2 linked regions of the Drosophila melanogaster genome follow. The protein of the gene in region 2 interacts with the protein of the main gene of each other region in a pairwise test. Each region holds a gene or a part of one and is shown on either strand. Other genes may lie near its edges. The genes, in order: stumps and htl.

Region 1 (5,199 bases), 3.5 Mb from region 2:
GAATTGTTCGTGGGTGTTGTGGGTTAATTGCCGATTGAGGCGAATTGCCTAGTTTCCTGCATATGGCGAAAGATTCGAATGGATTGCAAGTGACCATAGCGATAAGTGTGTCGAATATGGTGGGTGATCATTTTTAGAATAAGGCGCTGTGGGCAACCGTTATTATAATTGATAACAATAACAATAAGGGAAAGAATCTATTGTTTTTATAATAGTAAAAACTTTAATGGCACACTTCTAATAAATTGCGGCACTTCTAAAGCAGATCTACATGCTCTGAATTTCTATGTATGAAACACTCCTCAGTATCTCATCTACTACTTATTTCTCATCTCTTTTGAGACTCGAAAATCGCGCTGGATTTAAACGTCACACGAAGTGCCTTAAATCAACTTAAATCATCAGATGTCATGAAAGCGAAACCTTGAAAACGCTTATGATGAATACACAATGATCGTGCAAAGGAGTCCTGAGCGACTCATAAACCATAAACCTGTGACTTTTGCTGGACATACGAGTAAACCAGGAGGCCTTTCCATCTTGCATGCAACTGCCCACTTTAGGGGCATCCATCACACGGAGGACTGTCAATGTCAGGCCAGTCGCGAAATGTCAGTCAGCCAGGAAGGCGCGTTGCCAACAATCAGCTATATATACGCTCGATCGGCTATATGCGATCCCCTCATTACGCCACAAAATCGAAGGCAAACAGAAGCTCCACTCCACTGCCGGGGAAAAACAATGCCAAAACAAAGATTGGCGACGCTCTGGCGACAAAATACTATTACAATTATCACTTGCGTAAACATTGCAATGTTGTTAACGTGGTTTAAATGTGAGGGCGAACTGAAAGGGGCTGGGTAGTGGACCCAATTCCATGGCGCCTGCCAGGCGAAAAATGAAAAAACAAATTCCGAAGAGCTGGCAGTTGCGCTTAATATGCAAACGTGATGCAAAGCTGCGAGGTAAAGGTTGTTGGGCAGCCACTGGAGGAGTCAACAGGGGGGAAAACCCCAGAAGGGAGGACTTTTGGGGCATGAAAATGGAGTAGCAGGCAAAGGGGAGTGAACGCCTGACAGCCGCCAAAGTGCAAAAATGCGAACGCGAAACGAGGGCAGGGAATGCAATTTGCAACCACTTTGTCTTTGTCACTGCGTCGGCTGAACTTGTGGGGCATATTAAAATAACTAAAAGTATATTAGACTCGAGTAAATTAAATAACACAGCAATAAGCAGATATTTAAAAAATAGCTCTCAAAGAAAATTAAAAATTTGTGAGCCAAAATTTATTCCTTTAGGGACATAACAGCCATATCCTATAATCCATATACGTTTGCTGTCAACTATCGACTTTTCTATTATCTGAAAACTTTGCTAAACGATTTCCATTTACATGGATTACTTCTACTTATTGAGCCCAGATTAGCATAGGAATTCGCGATTGCCCCGTGGCATACTGAGCAGATGGGAAATGCAAGTGTCGTGGAACGTCAACTCACCTCTTCGTCGATGGGAACTGCCGCGGAATTTGTTTGGCGAGAGGAGCGGCGGTCGAGGCGCCATCATGCTGGGCACCTCATCCGGAGATCCCAGTCCCATTGCTCCAGAGTTCTGTTGATGTTGCTGTTGATGCTGATGTTGGGCCCAGTTTCCCAGGGAATGGCGACGAGTTCCGCCACTTGGCAGGGTGTGATGTCGATGCGATTTGCTACTGAGGATTGGTCGCAAAGATGGGGGGTGGGGGGAGAAAAGAAAGGGCGCACGATTAGCATGGGCGGAAAAGGGGGCGGTTCGAAACTGTCAACAGCTGCAATCGCATCCTGTCATCACCTCACCCTCCCCATTAAATGCTCGATTCTGGGGATTGCTCACCTTGTTGGCGATGTCAGCGGATTGAAGACCTCGTCGTGATCCCCAGCTACGGATGCACCTCCTCCTCCGGGACACTGGGAGCTGTGGGTCTCGTTGCAAGAATTCAGGCGTTCCCGGAACTCTGAGTGCGAATTTGCAGATCGCTGGCGGTACATGTTCATCGTCTGCAGTTCAATCGCGTGCTGAAATGCGCAAAACGGAAGAGGACGGCACATTAGAAGGGCTCACTCGACTCCACAGGAAGTGGCAGATCCAGCAGATAAATCAGAATCAGTATTCCGAAATCGGAGATCGGAATATGCTCTATTAAATCGCTACTCACTTGCGGATAGCCGGCGAGGGAATTGAAGCTGCCCCGCGGACTTCCTAATGCCATGGTAGCCGTGGTATCCAGATTGGCGGATGTGATCAGTCGCATCTGTTCCGGATTGGTCATCACCAGCGGCCGGGGGCTGCTGCCCTTCGAGTTGCGCCGCTTGAAGATCGAGAATCCCCGGCTGGAGGACTGCGAGTCCGGGGTGCGCGGCGACTTGGTTTCATTGCAAAAGTAATACGGGTTGTCTGGGGAGTTCAATTGCAATAGAATGAATGAGGAATGGAGTTAGTTTTCTGATTTGAACTTATCAAAGTTTGAGGATGTGCTTATAAAGTATAATAAATAACATTTATTTAATATCATATATGTACGTTTTTAATCTGTATGAATCTCTGTATCTTTGTATAATCTTTCGCTTTTGCTCATACTTTCTAACTTAAAACTTTGATATTTGTTACAATTCTTTTCGCATAAAGAAACTTATAAAGTCTTTAAGAAACTCTTTCACTCTTTTTACCTGAGAAGAAGGTGTTTGTGTTATCCACAGTGACAAACATCTTGAGATCCTTTATGCAGTGAATTTTTCCTTAGTTGATATGCGATTCGCAGAGTCTACCACAATTCAGAGCTCTGATTTGCGATGCATTTGCACTTTCACTGGCTGCGCATGCGCACGCGCCAAAAGTTGCGCACAGGGCGCGAATTCGAGAAACCGTAAACGGAAATCACAACGGGGAGTGCCACAAATGGCAACTTAACAAATTGTCAGTTTGAAAAAACGGGGCAAATAAATTCAAAATTCAAATTTAGGCGGCAATGCAAGTTCGTGATGGTTCGACTTAATATTTCACTTCAGTTCACTTGAGTTCGCGCAGTGCGTGCGTCTGCATTGACATCCCGAAACGGAATAAATTCTAAAACTTCAACGAGAACAAAACACTCCGCGCCGTCTGCATTTTCCTCTGCCACCGCCGATGTCTCTGTCGACGTCTCTGCCGACGCAGAGAATCCCTCCTCGTGTTTTGGTTTTTATTTACCATACGCGCACTTCTTCATCCATTCCCATTCTCAGCGTGCACTGATAAAAATAAATATACCGAAAAATCCCACCTTCTCATATTAATATTTTCTTTCGAATTCTCTAAGCGAAACTGTTAGGCATAATTTTCTTAATAAATTCAGATACAAAAAATTACTTGAAATAAGTACCACAAGATTTTGAACTGGATACATTAATTAAATAAAATAATAATATTTAATCGGTAAATTTGATTTCTTTATGTCTGTTTCTGTGTCTTCACTAATAAATTTGTACATCATTTTGAGAGATCAATCAATTCTCATCTCTTATTTTCTCACAGTGCAGCGACATCGGCAGCAGCATAAAAACATTGCATCTCTCCCTCGCACTCTCACCCCATCTCGCTCCCGCCCGCGCACGCACACACGCATACGGGATCAGTGTTTAAATATGGTTGCCATATTGCCATCACCCACTCGGTACTCCCCCACCCCTAGAAACCGATCGGCGATCAGGAAAACTCACTTTTCCTCGACTACAACGACTTTGTTGTTGTACCTGCGCATGTTTTTCTTTTGCGTGCGCTTTTCGCATGATCAAATTATCATCGCCAGCGCGCTCCGAGTCCATGATTTCCATGATATCCATGATTCCCTGTCCTCTGTCCCCTGTCCACTGTCCCTGTCTCCTGTCCCTTTCCCATTTTCCATCCGTGAGCGTACGTTTTGTCTTGGTCTCGTCGTGCATATTTGATGAGTTCCGATAGCAGAAATAGAAGACCCATCTAGCATATAAGCCAACTTGATGTGGCGCACATAGCATATACCATCATCATATATATTGTAGCATCTGAGGTGAGCCCCCCGGTTTAGTATTCCCCATGTTCTATCAGTGTCAAAGTTTGAGTTTGTGCGCCGAGTGTTGTCTGTGGTTGGGTTGGTCTTCAATTCGATGATGTTCACTGTCAGGAAACATTTATGAGACGTTTTTCGGGAGGGACCATGAGAACTCACCTTCGCAGAGCGGTGGGAGAATTAATCTTCCAAAATATCATGGGAAAAAATACAAAAAAAAAAAATTATACAAAGAGTTTTAGGATGTTTGATGATACAGATGCCAGAAATTCATCAAAAATATGATGATTACTTACGCTGTATATTAATATATTAGCATAAAGTAAACTCATATTTGGAGCATTTCTTCAATTGTCCTGAAGATACGCAATATTTGCCTTTCGACTTTATGGCAAATATGAAAATTGTCATCAATGTTGGGCCGAAAATAGAAGGCCATAATAGAAGCTATGGCCAGGCGACATATTCCAGCCACATTAGGGGAAACTCGAGAGCATCAAAGGCAGAAAAAAAAGAACGCGCATCGGAAAAGGCACATTAAAAATTGCAGCCAGGGGAGAGCAACAATTGTGCTAAGGGAACACATTTTCACATTTTTCCCCAGTGCAACTAGGAAAAAAAAAACTGAAACTGAAGCAACAACTGAAGTGGCAAAATGCTAGAGAGTCCATGTGGTCTGTCCGTGGAATTCCTAAGTGGACTGGGTCTAAAATCGGGCCTGCCATCGATACTGGGCCAACAACCAAATAACCCCTACCACACAGATGCCCGGCATATTGGGACCTATGGAAAAATCGTAAAACTCGGTACCCGAGCAGAAATTGCACATTTCGTAGTCCATAAAGGCGAGAGTCTGCCATCGAGGGTTGATCTTTGAGTGGCGGCTCTCTGCGGAGCAAGTGACTCTGCAACGTTACACTGGCAGAAATAACTTTAATGTTATATAATATAACACTTAGCATGTTATATCCTGAAAAGTTAAGATATTAACAAATGTAATGAGTTTCTTAAACATTTTAAATATTTCTCCCAGTGCAAACGTATTTGTTTGGCTGCTGCTGGATGCAAATGATCTTGAACCACTAGGGTACTTGCACTTGCAGCCGATTGCCTTGCTCGAGTACTTGGGCAAATGC
Region 2 (5,020 bases):
GATGGTCGTTGCCTTTAGCGTCCCGCATCTTTTCGCTTTCAACGGCAGCCTTAATTTTCCACACATGCCAGCCCCGTCTGGCTTTGTATCTCAGTATCGGCGGTATCTCTCAGTTTGCACTGGGTATTACTCTCATCTTTAATTAAAACAGACACAGTTTCTCTCCGCGTTCTGGGTCTGATCTTTCCAGTCCGCATTCAACATTCAGCCCACATCTGGCGGACAAAAAAAAATTAAAGAAATTAAAAGCAACAAAAATAACGGCCGGCGGAGAAGACTACTGTGTTCAGTTGTCTCTGTTCTCCCGCCCCCGTCGCCACGCCCACAGTCAGAGTCAGAGCAGAGACAAGGGCAAATATTGTTTCGGCTTGCATTTGTTGCTCTATTGTTGACTGCAACATGTGGGCACATCATCAGCATCGAACATACACGAATGTACATATACGTATGTCTACCTAAGATCGTGCCACATGTGTTGCACAGACATTGTCGTCGATTCTCGAGGGGAAGTAGCGACTCCAGCGTCTAAATGATGGGGTTATCCGAAATGTTGACTTCCAGGAAGGCATCCGCCAAATCGGAAACTGCCAAAAATTGTATATATGTTTGGTATTCTATCTCCACCCTCCGACCTTCACCTCCATCGATAATGAGCGCGCAATTTTAGTATATGTATGTATTTCCTGTGCCGTCCAAAATCGCCCGATTTATAAACAAACACGTTCCGGAAAGTATTTGCAAAGTATACAAACATTGCACGGTATATGTACATTTCCCATCGAATTGAAATCGCCGGTCACTTGGCGCATCCATTTCAATCGCACGGGTTGACCCGCAATTGACGCACTTGGCGGTTGCCCCGCTGCCGCTCAGTGTATCCGATACCAAGTCGAGACCGGCACGAGTCTGTTATTTCGCACGGTTCGTCGGCAGGTTCCACCAGCCATCAGCCACCCAATGCCAATCCCATCCAGCCATCCATCCATCCATCCATCCCCACCCGTTCATCTAGTATATACCATTCAGTACGTGACGGCGAGAAGGTTGCATCCCATGGGGTAAACGAAAAGAAGCAGATGGAGCGAAAGGTCGATTGTGGCAAGTCGACTTTATCAAAAACGCGAAGCTACGTTAAATTATCACAAAGTATATGAGTAGTGAACTATTGATTCGATTTACATTTCAGAAATATAAAGCACGCAGCGATTTATATAAAGAACGTTCAACAGATTTAGTTGAAATAAATATGTGCTATTCTTAAATTGTTGCAAGCTTTACTTATATATTTGTAAATTTGCCATTTAGAGCTTTAAAATTTTATTAGTACTCACAAACATTTAGACAACAAAATCCATTATAAAAGTGCTGTAGCATTGATAAGCTTAAGCTATAATATATTATAATACCAAAAAATAACATTATTACTTTATTGTTGACATAAATCTATTTCTAAATCGAAATCTTTATTTGGTAAACACTGATTTTATGATAAACTCTCATGAAAACATTTAATATTATATAGCAAGCATATATTCTCGTGACATTTGTACTTTAACATCATAAAGATCAAAGGATCATACCGAAAGTCTGCGTGGATCCCACCTGAGATGATATGGGAACAATACCGGGAACTGGCCGCACAATTAGCTAAACAAACCTAACCTTAATTATCATTCATAAATAAATTGCAGAGAAGGGAGGCGAAAAGTAAGAAGCGTCTTCGGTTGTCGGCCAGCAAATTGAGTGATTGCCAAAGGCAACAAAACAGAAGCCGAATCACCTAGAAGATGGCATCGTAAAGCTAACCGACCGACAAAACAGATACCCGATAAATATATATATATACATATATATACACACAGATAGCTATATCTTTAGCTATATACTCACTCAGATATAGAGCAAGTCGGACAAAGAGCAGACAAGTTGAAATGTTTGTTTACGCGGCTAGAAAATATTGCATGTTCCTATACCGTCTACATTCTAGAATCTAGACTCTAGATGATACGATATATGCTATATGCTGTTGGTTAATAAACAAAATCCCATTCTAAGGGAGCGTTGGAATATAACAGAATTATGAGTTTGAAATATTTTCCCGAGCTCTGGGGCATCGGTTGGCTTGTAAAAGCAAATAAATAAATATAAATTAGAATGGGAACCCTGTGGAAAAGTGCTTTCAATTTGAGCATGTACCATAGCAGAACCGAATGGAATAAATAAAAAATAAAAAAAACAGATACTATGGGGAGCCCACAACTGTCCATATTCACTGTATTATTATGGGGTAGCCAGAGAATAGATAATTGAACGATTGACTACACACACACACAGCGGGATAAACGACACAAATTGCTTTGGAACCGAACCACTGCACATTTTACACTTTTTGGCCTTTGGGTTAAAAAGTCAAATTGCTGTGCGCGGTCAATCAAAAAGTGGATCAAACAAATGATTTGCGCAACTACGCAAAAAAAACCAAAAACAAAATAAACTAAATTAAACGATGCACGGTGTGTATTTTTAAAGACTTACCTCACAAAGTGCGTTGCTCCACGAACAAAAAAAAAAAAATGCCAAAAAGCTTCTTGCCAAATATCCACCAAAGTGTCTCTGCGTTGGAATTTCTCCTTGCCTTCGTCTAAATTGTAAGTCTTTCACTAAAAACACAATTGGGAAAGTTCACAGAATTCGAGAATGTTTCCACTTAAAATTCCAGAAATGTTTTAGTACGCATTTATATGGCACTTAGGCACTTAAACAGAACCAGAAACCGTTGCACACTTGACTCTGTTTTGTTTCTTTCCATCCACAAAATGTGTGCGTTTTCACCAAGAGGCATTACTAATAATTATTAGTATAATTATATTATATGGCGTTATTACGCGTTCAATCGATCGATCGTTCGCTCTAATTTTCGACGATTTTTCACCGATTTTCCAACGATTTTCCAACCGATTTTCCAACGATTTTCCTCCGATTTCGCCTACTGTAACGGCACGCAGTCCGATCGCAACTGAGTCAAAAAAAAGCAAGCGAACCGAACAGAACCGAGCCAGCTCTGCGAAATAAATCTCTTCAATTAAATGAGGGAACAAATGAAACGAATTCACATTTCCCCCATCAACTTCAACATGCTGGAGAACACATCTCTGCAATGTATTTTTGCGGCAGGCGCGTAAACAAATACAGAAAACACACAAAATTGAACGGAACGCCAGCCACACATTGTATAATCCGCAGCCAAAGAGAGGAAGGGTCGAAAAAGCGAGGGGTTGGGTATGCGGTATATGTATGTATGGTACTATATGGTATAGGGGCCCCTATACCCTATATATGGGGGACCCACACACACACACACACAAGTGTGTAGCTGAGTGGCGGCCTTCCCTTGGAAAGTGAAATGTAATTGAGTGCACAGACCGCACTCGTTCTAAAATTCGTTCAATTGAGTCGAATGGAATATCTCAAAGATATTCTAACGCACAATATGTTGCATAGTTTCGAGCGCAGCGAGGAAATTCATGAATTTCATTATGAGGGTGCAAAGAAGATGGGTAGTTGTCAAAAAGATTCCTTATATTCAGATCAATTATTTATGTAGTTATAATTGGTTTGATGGATCATGCTTTATTAAAAAGAATAGCTAACTTATCTTAGTCAGAATAGATCAGTCACTTGAATTTAATTATTATTATTTTTTAAAAAGATTTATGGCCTATGAGGGCCTAAGATTCTACTGACAAATTCTTTGCGCATTTCTTTGCGCTTCGTTTGAGGCGGAAAATGCGGAATGAGATTCATTAGCCAACACAATAGCTCGCTAAGTAAGTTAGCAGTTATTAATTATGAGCTACTTATAGCCAATGTCAAATGGCCAACAGACACATAAGAACCAGTAGCCAAGTGGCGATGGAAGAAAGCCCCTCTAATGAATGACACTCGTGGTGAAAAGGCCATCAAAGCACACACGCTGTGCGCCAAAGACAATGGCATCGTTTAGCGTTTGTCTCTATGGAGACACCAAAAATAACGAAAAGGGTTAGCCAAACAATGGACAATGACGCAGGGGGGATTTTGGCCGAAAATCGAAAACAATTAACGATTATTGACCATCAATTGTGGCCGACGGGACCCGTTCAGTGCCAAATGGCGTTACGCCTGACTGATTAATTGATGCTCCACGGCGGAATTGGGAGGGAGGATCCCCATGAGTGGTTAGCATAGTTTCAACAGTTAACAACCTCGTAAAGCCGCAGAGAGACCGGGGAAAGCACGGGTTAAAGACGGCCACCGATCAGTGTGTATGGTCATAATACTTAAATTTTATGCACTCCTGGGCAAGCCTCCTGGCTCCAACCTGGCTCCAAACCGGGCTCCTCTTGGCTACCCAAAAGTGCTTCTCCTCGAGGCTGCCGATCGCAGCTTCAGCTTCCGTATGGCTTTTCAATTTGGCCAGAACGAAACGCAAGTTGTTAGCGTTTCGAGCATAGAAATAAATATTGGGAAATTGGCTCAAAGTCTGGTTGGTCGAGCCTTTGGCCATTTGGCTCTGGGAATCTGCGAATGGGAAATGAAAAATCGGGAACGGTAACAGGCTTTTGGAGACACGATCTTCGAGTTGGGCGACACGATCTGCAGCCATCTCGCAGATCGCAGCTCGTCGAGATCTCGTGCAGAGCAGCCAAACAGCATAAAGTTAATTGCTAATATGATTAATTGCACATTAACATGAATTTTTATAGCCAATTATATGCGAAATATGCCAATGAGAAACGCTTTCGACCAGCGGATTAAACAACCAAAAAATAAGTTAACTGCTAGACTTATTCAGTTGCAATAGATAAACAGATGGGCTATTGAAGCTGTCAATGAAAATAAGGAAGAGCAATATATTAACTTTTGCTAGGTGACTTGGGAAATCAATTAAATTTTGGGATTAGTAGATTAAGATTAAGAAATTGAGTTGAATGTATTTATTGTATCATATGGGCTCAAATAAGTTAGGCCTGCAAAACAT

Evidence for each region.
Region 1: the proteins of htl (region 2) and stumps interact in a two-hybrid assay, tested with the Drosophila melanogaster proteins (2 studies listed by BioGRID).

Annotation. Positions count from the first base shown.
Region 1 is NT_033777.3:14,589,516-14,594,714, reverse strand, and holds the start of stumps (stumps), read right to left. Parts: upstream 3,096-5,199; 5' UTR 2,746-3,095; coding exon 2,706-2,745; intron 2,434-2,705; coding exon 2,195-2,433; intron 2,055-2,194; coding exon 1,873-2,054; intron 1,712-1,872; coding exon of another isoform or gene 1,709-1,711; coding exon 1,500-1,708; intron 1-1,499.
Region 2 is NT_033777.3:18,049,967-18,054,986, forward strand, and holds the start of htl (heartless), read right to left. Parts: upstream 3,019-5,020; 5' UTR 2,536-3,018; intron 1-2,535. UniProt on the Drosophila melanogaster protein: May be required for patterning of muscle precursor cells. May be essential for generation of mesodermal and endodermal layers, invaginations of various types of cells and CNS formation.